Linked DNA regions of Kluyveromyces lactis. The protein of the gene in region 1 interacts with the protein of each later gene in a pairwise test. Links are inferred from orthologs where the notes say so. Each region holds a gene or a part of one and is shown in the gene's direction. Other genes may lie near its edges. The genes, in order: SIP5, MMS2 and SNF1.

Evidence for each region.
Region 2: the proteins of SIP5 (region 1) and MMS2 interact in a protein complementation assay, tested with the Saccharomyces cerevisiae proteins (2 studies listed by BioGRID). The link is inferred for Kluyveromyces lactis from reciprocal best matches to the Saccharomyces cerevisiae genes SIP5 and MMS2.
Region 3: the proteins of SIP5 (region 1) and SNF1 interact in a two-hybrid assay, tested with the Saccharomyces cerevisiae proteins (2 studies listed by BioGRID). The link is inferred for Kluyveromyces lactis from reciprocal best matches to the Saccharomyces cerevisiae genes SIP5 and SNF1.

What each region holds. Positions count from the first base shown.
Region 1 is NC_006041.1:1,967,724-1,971,180, reverse strand, and holds SIP5 (Sip5p), read left to right. Parts: upstream 1-1,436; coding exon 1,437-2,888; downstream 2,889-3,457. Other genes in the region: KLLA0_E22089g (uncharacterized protein), read left to right, coding at 1-189. UniProt on the Saccharomyces cerevisiae protein: May negatively regulate the SNF1 kinase by promoting the interaction of the REG1/GLC7 phosphatase complex with the kinase. Deletion of SIP5 promotes resistance to artemisinin, which is probably an indirect effect of an action on the electron transport chain.
Region 2 is NC_006041.1:1,702,169-1,704,547, reverse strand, and holds MMS2 (E2 ubiquitin-conjugating protein MMS2), read left to right. Parts: upstream 1-1,311; coding exon 1,312-1,322; intron 1,323-1,422; coding exon 1,423-1,831; downstream 1,832-2,379. Other genes in the region: coiled-coil domain-containing protein MAD1, read right to left, coding at 1-1,082. UniProt on the Saccharomyces cerevisiae protein: Has a role in the DNA error-free postreplication repair (PRR) pathway. Lacks catalytic activity by itself. The UBC13/MMS2 heterodimer catalyzes the synthesis of non-canonical poly-ubiquitin chains that are linked through 'Lys-63'.
Region 3 is NC_006037.1:338,307-342,023, reverse strand, and holds SNF1 (AMP-activated serine/threonine-protein kinase catalytic subunit SNF1), read left to right. Parts: upstream 1-1,408; coding exon 1,409-3,217; downstream 3,218-3,717. UniProt on the Saccharomyces cerevisiae protein: Serine/threonine protein kinase essential for release from glucose repression.

The sequences.
Region 1 (3,457 bases):
GATGTATGTTTCGAAAATGGAATTACTGTCATGGGTATGCAAGGAAACATCGACGGTGTTTCTGGTGATATTGCTTTGTTGGCACCATCATTCATCATCACCGAAGACGATGTCTCCACCATTGTGGAAAGAGTTACCAAGTCTGTTGATGATATGACCGTTCTACTAAAGGCTGAAGGCCATTTCTGAGAAGGCTTCAGCTGTGCTAAGTATTCTAACGACTATATAACGGCACATACGTAGACGTATTGTGCCACCTCTTCTCTGTACTTGTTCTTTAAAACTCCATGTCTCATCATAACAGTTATGTGTCAAGCAAATCAGTTCCTTTTTTCCTAATATTTTTTTGACACTTTGAACCTTTAAGCTGTTTTTATTCGCGTAAATGTATATTATTAACAAAGTGATCGAAACTAAAATATCAGCAGGAAAGTCAAAAATAGAAGGCCGAGTTAAGGGTCCTACATTAACATCAACGTAGTAAGATTTTCTTAGTAACTCACAAATTCCGGCCCAGTAAGTAGATATATATATGTACGTCTTTTTTCGGCATTGTAGAGCATCTGCTGTAAGCTTATCAGCTGTCATTACTTTCTGCTCGGTCAGCATTGATGAAAACCCGGCTCATATCTCATTAACTTCGCCTCGCTCCTAATGTAAAGATATATACCTAAGAAATAATAAGGAATGATAAGTGAATCTATCCAAAAACCTGGTCCAACTATTCTTCAACCTAGTTTTCTTTCACTGTGTGAGTCACACTATTATACCAAATACCCATATGTAAGTTACATCTTTTTTCAGTGTCACTATCAAAACTCCTGTATTGTTATCCATAAACTTTAGAAATACAGTACAGTGCGTATCCCGATGTAGACAGAATTTCCGGTACTCTACCTCCAACTTAATGCCATATGCCTGCGTATCGTGACGCTTTCGACCGAAATGAATTTCGGGATAATAGCTACATACATATATACATCTCATATCTTCCACCGAACAAGGTTGGAGATTGTTAACTCCCAGTTCGTCACTCGGACTTTTTTATGCATGTTCGGGATTAGACAGGAGGCTTTCACTATGTGTTATATCAAATGTTCTGGTTTCTCTTTGTCGCTATATAAAGCAATAAATTGGTTTGAAATCAAAAATTCCATCATAAGAAAAACGTCCCTTTATTTCTATAGGAGACAAAACTCCATTATATAGGGAGAACACAGGAACGGTTTTTTTCTAACTTCACAGATACAATAGATTAACTGAGTCATATAACAAGGTGTGTTAGTTATATTGCGTATACATTGTTTCAGAAGTTACAGTATCCGGTTAGCGTTGTGTGGAAAGTTAGATATTATTTTACCGCTTATAAGTGAAGAACCTCAGAATTTAATAGGATCAGAAACAGAGGGATATATACACTAATATCTAAACCAGCCATGGGAAATGTTCCAGGTAAAATTGATAGCCCTCAAGACCCTGCAAATAGGAAGCAGCAACGGTCAGAGTCTTTAAATTTTGGATCTCAGGGCCCAAAAAATCTTAACCGGAATAGGAGGGCTACTTCCTTGGTAGGAAATTTGTTAAGTGCTAGTGGGAGAGCGAGATCAGACTCTTATAATAGTGCTAACGGTTACAACGGCAACAGTCCGAATCCGTACAAGAAGAAGTCTTTGAAGGAGAAGGAGAAGCTCAAAGAGAAGCATGCTAGACAACTTGTGGTCAAGTACAACGAAACTGTGGATGGTGGGTTTTTAGCACCTTTTGGATGTTATAATTTCGATAAGTTGGACTATGAAGCAGATATAGTTAAAAATTTAATTATAGAAAGGAGGTTGGCTCCCTTTTACACACCATTGCAAGAATTTGATCAGACTTGGACTCGAGAAGAGGTCATAAAAATTGTTGATGGGTTACCTTTGCATTGTTCATTTCAACAGGACCCAGAAGAATTTGAGGGAGTTCCGACCGGTGATTTAGCCGATGACGAATTTGACTATCTACTGGATAGTACCGCTTCGAAAAGGGAACAAAGAAGGCAAAGGTCGAAAATTTCTAAGGCAAGGTTATATTTCAAAAGAGTTGGTTGGCAGGAGAGGGCAAATGAACGGTATCTTGAGCTGAAACTTATGAACAAAAAACATACGGAAGCAAAGAACCCGGCTTTACCCAGTGATGATTTGAAATATACTTTGTACAAAAATGGAGCAGAATGTCCAATATGTTTCCTCTACTTTCCTAAGCCTTTGAATATTTCCAGATGTTGCAAGCAACCGATCTGTACTGAATGCTTCGTCCAAATCAAGCGTGCCGCACCACACTTCCCGCATGAAGAGGTAGATCCAACTCAAGATCAAGAACCGGACGAATTGAAGGATCCCAACCTTCTTGTCAGTGAACCTGCCAATTGCCCTTACTGTGCCACTGCAGAGTTTGGTGTAACATACGAACCGCGCAGGGACGTGCGGACTGGAATCAACGGGATCTACGCTTCCGAATACAAGATTGCCGAATACAAGGACCGTGAAGGCCTAGTATCGGATTCTAGCAGCAATGAAGATGACGAACTCGTAACTATAGAACAAATTCGTAGGGGCTCAATAGCAGCCGATGATCCGTCTGTGATAACATCCGATTCTATAAGACCTGACTGGGAGATCAATCTAACCAAAGAAAGATTAAGACTCGCTAGAAGATCAGCAAAAGCTACTGCAATACACATGAGTAATCAATTAATTGATCCCGAACACCCTTCTAGACACGCATCCATTTCTTCTTCAGTTGGAGGCCCTGACGGAGGGAATAGTCCTCAACGTCGTCAGAAAACATTAGAAGAACTGGATGACGAAATGCTCCAACAAGCAATCAAACTAAGTTTGCAGGATCATTAACCTAATTTGGAGCTTATTTCATGAACTGAAAGCATTTTCTCCTGCACTGCTGTCTCCTTCATTACCTTCACGACTAACGACAGATACAATCAACACATTCGCAAATTACTTCACTTTGCATGCATCTTTTAACAATCCCATAACTTTCGCATCATACCTTAAGATACAAGGTACACTCATCAGTAACACTGCGCGCGAGTATATATATGTTTATAAAACATAGAATATTATGTGGAATATAGCACCCATCTGCGGACTCACTCCGACTCAATATCAGGGATTCTCCCTTGTACATCTACGCTGACTCTGTACATCCAGCGTTTCATGCAGAAACATTATATCACATCACACGAATTATCATGCCTGACGAAACCACGCAGCTTTTCCTGAAATTTTTCACCTTTCCACGATGAGATGTGAAATATCAATAAAACTTACAGGAGTAACCATTTAACATTTCGATAGGAAAAGTATTTGTTTTACACATGATGGCATTTGTTCAATTTGAAGCTTCTTTTATGAAATATTCTTATTACTTATATCGTTTTATTATTTAGTTTCTCTTATTT
Region 2 (2,379 bases), about 270 kb from region 1:
TGTTCAAGTTCATGATTTAAACGCTTCAAATTCAAAATACTAGTTTCATAGTCTTTGTTCAAATCTAGAAGTTGGTTTCTTTCAATTGCCATCTCATCGTTGAGCATGGACATTTGATTGAAATCAATTTGTAACTTGGAATTCGTATCTAAAAGGAAAGTATTTTCTCGTTGTAACATATTAAGCTCTGTTATAACATCGTTAGGGTTCTTGAATTTACCGTCTAACCTAACAATACCCCATTGTGTAATCTTCTCCTGTAGGCTGATATTCTCCATTTCCAATGATTCGAACTTTTTTTGTAAAGAATTCAATTGATCGAGTTTAGACTGGAGTAATTCATTTTCCTTTTTCAACAACGATTGGACATCGTTATTTTGTCGAAGCTTCTTCAATTCAGTGGCTTGTTTAAGGTTCATATCCTCTAGTTCTTTGGCATAATTGAGCTGCTCCTTCAGAGTCTTGTTCAAGACAGCCAAATCTTGTAATTCTTCCGTAGAATTGTTCCTATGAGACGCAGAAGTTTGAACTGATCGTAGTTCAGATATCAGATTTTCTTTTTCCTTCAGTTCTTGTTGTAAATATCGTATCTCTTCCACATGTTTGTTTATCTGAGTTTCATGTTGATGCAGAATGTTTCCGCTACCTTCAATTTCCAACTTCATCGATTCAATTGCATTCGTAACTTCATTTTGTTTTGAGGAAAGCTTATGAGCTAATTCCACGATACGCTGCTCTTTCAAATTAACTTCGTTTTTCAAACTTACAACCTGTGTTCGAAGTGTCGTTATGATCTTCTCATCCTCCTTCGGTAACGCATCCTTACTTTTCAATTCTTCCTTCAACTTGATGTTTTCCTCATATAGTATCTTGGTATCTTTCAAAGCATTTTCCAGTTCGTTCATACTCTTATCGTATTTGTTCTGAAGCGAATAAGTCTCGCGTTCTGATGACAACTTCGAAATTTCATACTCGTTCTGTAAGGTTGTGTATTTGTACTGAAGCGTTAAAACGCGACGTCTCAACTGATCTGCATCTAGCGATTCAAGGGGCTTTTCCTTTATCTGAGGTGTTAGTGACATATAATACACAATTGAGTTTGACACAATTGCAAGACACTATTGGCATGAAGCATTCTTTAAGTTCCCCTAAGATCACTTAATGGATCAAGATCAAAGTCAAGATTTTCGCTATAAAATTATAAAATCAGAATGAAATGAAGAAACGTTTAAATCATCCCCTTTAAAGATGATCAAGAAAGGGGACGGGGATCAAAAGCTCACACCGCTAACTAACCAGACTGTTCTTACTATGTCTAAAGTGTACGTTCATTCGAATTCTTTTACTTTCATGCGATACCCATGCCTATAACAACCCTTTCAGAATTTTACTAACCGCACTATGGCATACATATTTCACTAGACCAAGAAGTTTCAGACTACTAGAAGAGCTAGAGAAGGGAGAAAAAGGACTGGGTCCAGAATCTTGTTCCTATGGTCTTTCTGACTCCGATGATATCACAATGACAAAGTGGAACGGTACCATACTTGGTCCTCCTCATAGCAACCATGAAAACAGAATATATTCAGTGCTCATCGAATGCGGGCCCTCATATCCAGACGAACCACCTAAGGTGAAATTCGTATCGAAGATCAACCTGCCATGTGTCAATTCTACCACCGGAGAGGTCGTCAAAGAGAAATTCCATACTTTGAAGGAATGGAAAAGATCCTATACCATGGAAACTGTCTTATTGGAGCTACGTAAGGAAATGGCAACACCATCGAACAAAAAATTGTTACAACCACAAGAGGGAACGACGTTTGAGTGAAATTACAGCAGGTACTAAATGTATATATACACATGAGAGTAAATAAGTATAAAGTTGTGTATTTGGCGCAACTGGTTTGGGGGCCCTTTTGGGCTCCCAAAAGTTTTCGTACGCATAATAAGCATATTGTCCAATGTATAATGAAGCAACGCCTGCCGATGTGCCCTCCACTCAAAAGTATCATCTTGCTTAAGAGAAGTCAGGTCCTGTTTTAGATCATGATCCACTCAATTGCACTGTTCTCTAAGTAAATTAGTTCAAACAAGGTTCGAAGAGATTTGCTGGTTTGAATTTCTCATCAAACCACCAGATTTACAACCACCACCAGATCGATAGTAAAGCCGGTTTTTTCGCCCAAGTGCCTGTAAATAGAAAAAGGCCTAGGTCAACCGTTCCGATTCTTACTCTTCTTCGCAGAGTCACACGCACAAAAGGGGTCTACATTTTGGTCCTGCTCCTAACACTCTTCTTTCGACTGTTTCTTTCATCCAGAGAAACTTTCAATTTGGAAGACTTTGCAGTGAACTTTCATATAAATGAATCATAAG
Region 3 (3,717 bases), on another chromosome or scaffold:
GATATTTTGCATGTAGCCAATGTTGGGATTAAGAAAACTCATTTACCATCAAATACTATAAAGGAACAAGTTTTCTCTGCGGTCATGGCCTCGTACCCCAAATTTGAAAAATACATGGACTTTGCGTTCAAAGAACCAGGATATTGGGTGGCACATATCTCACAACCTCACCGTAAGACTGACCTATTGAACAGGTCCTTTGAGCAATCGTTCAAAGAGGATGTCATTGAATCAGCAACAAGTTATGTTGTCAGTTACTGCAAACGATTTACTGAAACTTCCGATATTCGCTCGCACAATAAACCAACTGAACCATTGAATATCAATCGTGTTAAGAAGCCAAAATTATTAAAAAACCTATCTGCATATCTGGATAGAAACATTTCAGAATTCCATTTTGCGCCTAAGGATGAGTGGCAGATATACTTGGGGGAACCATTGGAGAAAGAGAAGGATTTTTTGAGCTATTGGCTTGAAAACCAATCAAGATTTCCTGCATTGTGCAGTCTGGCTCTTGCCTTTTACCACACTAAGCTCTCAACTGCTGACGTCGAAAGGAGCTTCTCAATCAGTAAGCGTGTTTTAGATGATAGATTTTCTCTTGCTAGTTCCAATTTAAAAAGCACAATGATAGTAAGGAATCGCTTGATGTGTTTCAATTTGGGCTCAAAGATGCCTGTGACTGAACATATTGCAACGGACTCTTGGACGGATGACGAGGACGATATGGAGCATTCAAATTTTAGCCAACAATCATTCTACGATCCTGCCGCAGTCATCGATATTTACTCCAGTGACAGTAGTGATTGAAACTAATACATAGATAGCAGAATTTTGGAATCACCAGTTTATAATGAGGAAAATACGATATTAACGTTATTCCTAATTATAAAAGAGTAATTGGGGAAGATTAAAGATGTAATATATACATCTTGGTTCGTATATAATAGCCACTTATCGAGTGGTGATGTACTTTAATGTAGTGTCATAGCATATTGACGTAGTGAAGAATGGATTCGTGAATTGTCTGAATCCTCTCGTAAAACGTGACAGGATTGGTGACTGAAAATGGTCAATTCGCCGGACTCGTCCCAGTACGGTCTCCTACATAAGGTATCAGTCATCATCAACGATTTCTACGCCGTTTACATTTTGATGATAAAATTGAAAACTTGTCATATACGGAACATCAACAATAAAAGAAGGATCAATGCGTAATTGTAGGGCGGATAGAATTGGGTTTTGTGAGACTCCAGAAACGTCACACTAGTATAAGAATTGCAAGTTTTCTAACAAGTTAGTCAACTTCTCAATTAGAAGCAACTATTCTCAGAGTAAACAAGATATCCCTCTGTTGAACGCAAACTCTTAGTGAAGCATTTACGAGTACATACTCATCAGAGAAGATATGTCGCACGACCCAAATCAACAACAGCCGCATGGTGGCTCAGGTCAAGGCCATCACCAACGCCAGCTGACTAACCACGCACAAGGCCAACATATCGGTAAGTATCAAATCATCAAGACCTTGGGTGAAGGATCATTTGGTAAAGTGAAACTGGCGTACCATATCTCTACGGGACAAAAAGTGGCATTAAAAATCATCAATAAGAAGGTTCTAGCCAAGAGTGATATGCAAGGTAGAATCGAGAGAGAGATTTCGTACTTACGTTTGTTGAGACATCCACACATTATCAAATTGTATGACGTGATCAAATCGAAGGACGAAATTATCATGGTGATTGAGTATGCTGGTAATGAATTATTTGATTATATTGTCCAAAGAGACAAGATGCCTGAACAAGAAGCAAGAAGATTTTTCCAACAGATTATTAGCGCAGTAGATTATTGTCACCGTCATAAAATTGTGCATAGAGATTTGAAACCAGAGAATTTACTATTAGACGAACATTTGAACGTTAAGATTGCTGATTTTGGTTTATCTAATATAATGACAGATGGTAACTTTTTGAAGACTTCATGTGGTTCTCCAAATTATGCGGCCCCAGAAGTCATCAGCGGTAAACTATATGCAGGTCCAGAGGTTGACGTTTGGTCTTCAGGGGTTATCTTATACGTCATGTTGTGTCGTAGGTTACCATTCGATGACGAAAGTATCCCAGTGTTGTTTAAGAACATTAGCAATGGTGTTTACACCATACCTAACTTCCTTTCCCAAGGTGCTGCGAGCTTAATCAAAAAGATGCTCATCGTCAATCCAGTTAATAGAATTACCGTGCATGAAATCATGCAGGATGAATGGTTCAAAGTTGATTTACCCGACTACCTAGTTCCTGCTGAAAGCACCCATCAAGAAAACTCTGAAAGCAAAACAGAAGATGGCGGCCCATCCGTGCCACTCGAACTGATCGATGATTCGTTAGTTCAAACGCTATCAAACACTATGGGTTATGACGTAGATGAGATATATGAGGCTTTAGAGTCCGATGAAGATCATCCATCTTTAAATGAAATCAGGGATGCCTATCAGTTAATTAAAGAGAACAGAAATTTAATCAACGACATCAAGGTGAACAAGCAACAATCTAATGACTTGGATACTTTCTTATCGCAATCTCCACCCACTTTCGAACAATCCTTGCATGCCCCCCCGGGCTCAAAAAATCGACACTCACACCGCCATTCAAAGAGAACACAGCAACGTACATATCAATATCATTATGGAAATGGTTCTCAGGATGGAGACAGCACGATTGCAATTTTACCTAGCTCGTTACCACAGATCCATAGAGCCAACATGGTAGCACAAGGGTCCCAGGCTGCTGCTAAGATTTCACCATTAAGCGTGAAAAAATCAAAAACAAGGTGGCATTTCGGTATACGATCAAGATCCTATCCATTAGACGTTATGGGAGAAATATACATTGCATTGAAAAACTTGGGAGCCGAATGGGCGAAACCATCAGAAGAGGACCTATGGACTATTAGAGTCCGTTGGAGATATAATATCGATATGCCTGATGACGAAATGAAGAACAAGCAGATTCCAGATTTAATGAAGATGGTAATCCAATTGTTCCAAATTGAGACAAATAACTACTTAGTGGATTTCAAATTTGATGGCTGGGAGTCCAGTAACGGTGTAGTGTATTCAAGTCGGAACGACGATGAAATGAGTACGTTCAGTGCATACCCCTTTCTACATTTAGCAACCAGGCTGATTATGGAACTTGCAGTGAATAGCCAAGGAAGTTGATTTTAAGGTTCATGAAATTAAAAAAATACTAACGGATAATATCCAACGAAGAGTGTATATAAGTTTGAATATTTGCTTAAAGTTTAAGCCTTATATACATATCATTAAATAATGACAATCACTATATTATATGAGAAATTACTCTTAGCTCACAACACTCGCCGGGAAGAAGAGGAAAACAACATACATGTTTTTGACACATGAAAAAAGAATGCATCGGCCGGGAATCGAACCCGGGGCCCAACGATGGCAACGTTGGATTTTACCACTAAACCACCGATGCTACTTTGTTGTAGTTTTCGTAAGATAGACTGAAGACAGGCCAGACGAAGGGTCATGTGAGCTAGCCAGCACACGGCAGAGTTCCAAGACGTCAGTGACTGGGCATATGGATCCTGTGGTATCCAGAAGGGAAGGCCTAGATGGATCAAAGAGGGTCACGTGACAATATTTAGTGAAATTGGAATAGGCAGAAGCTGCGCATGACGAGTGGCTCATGA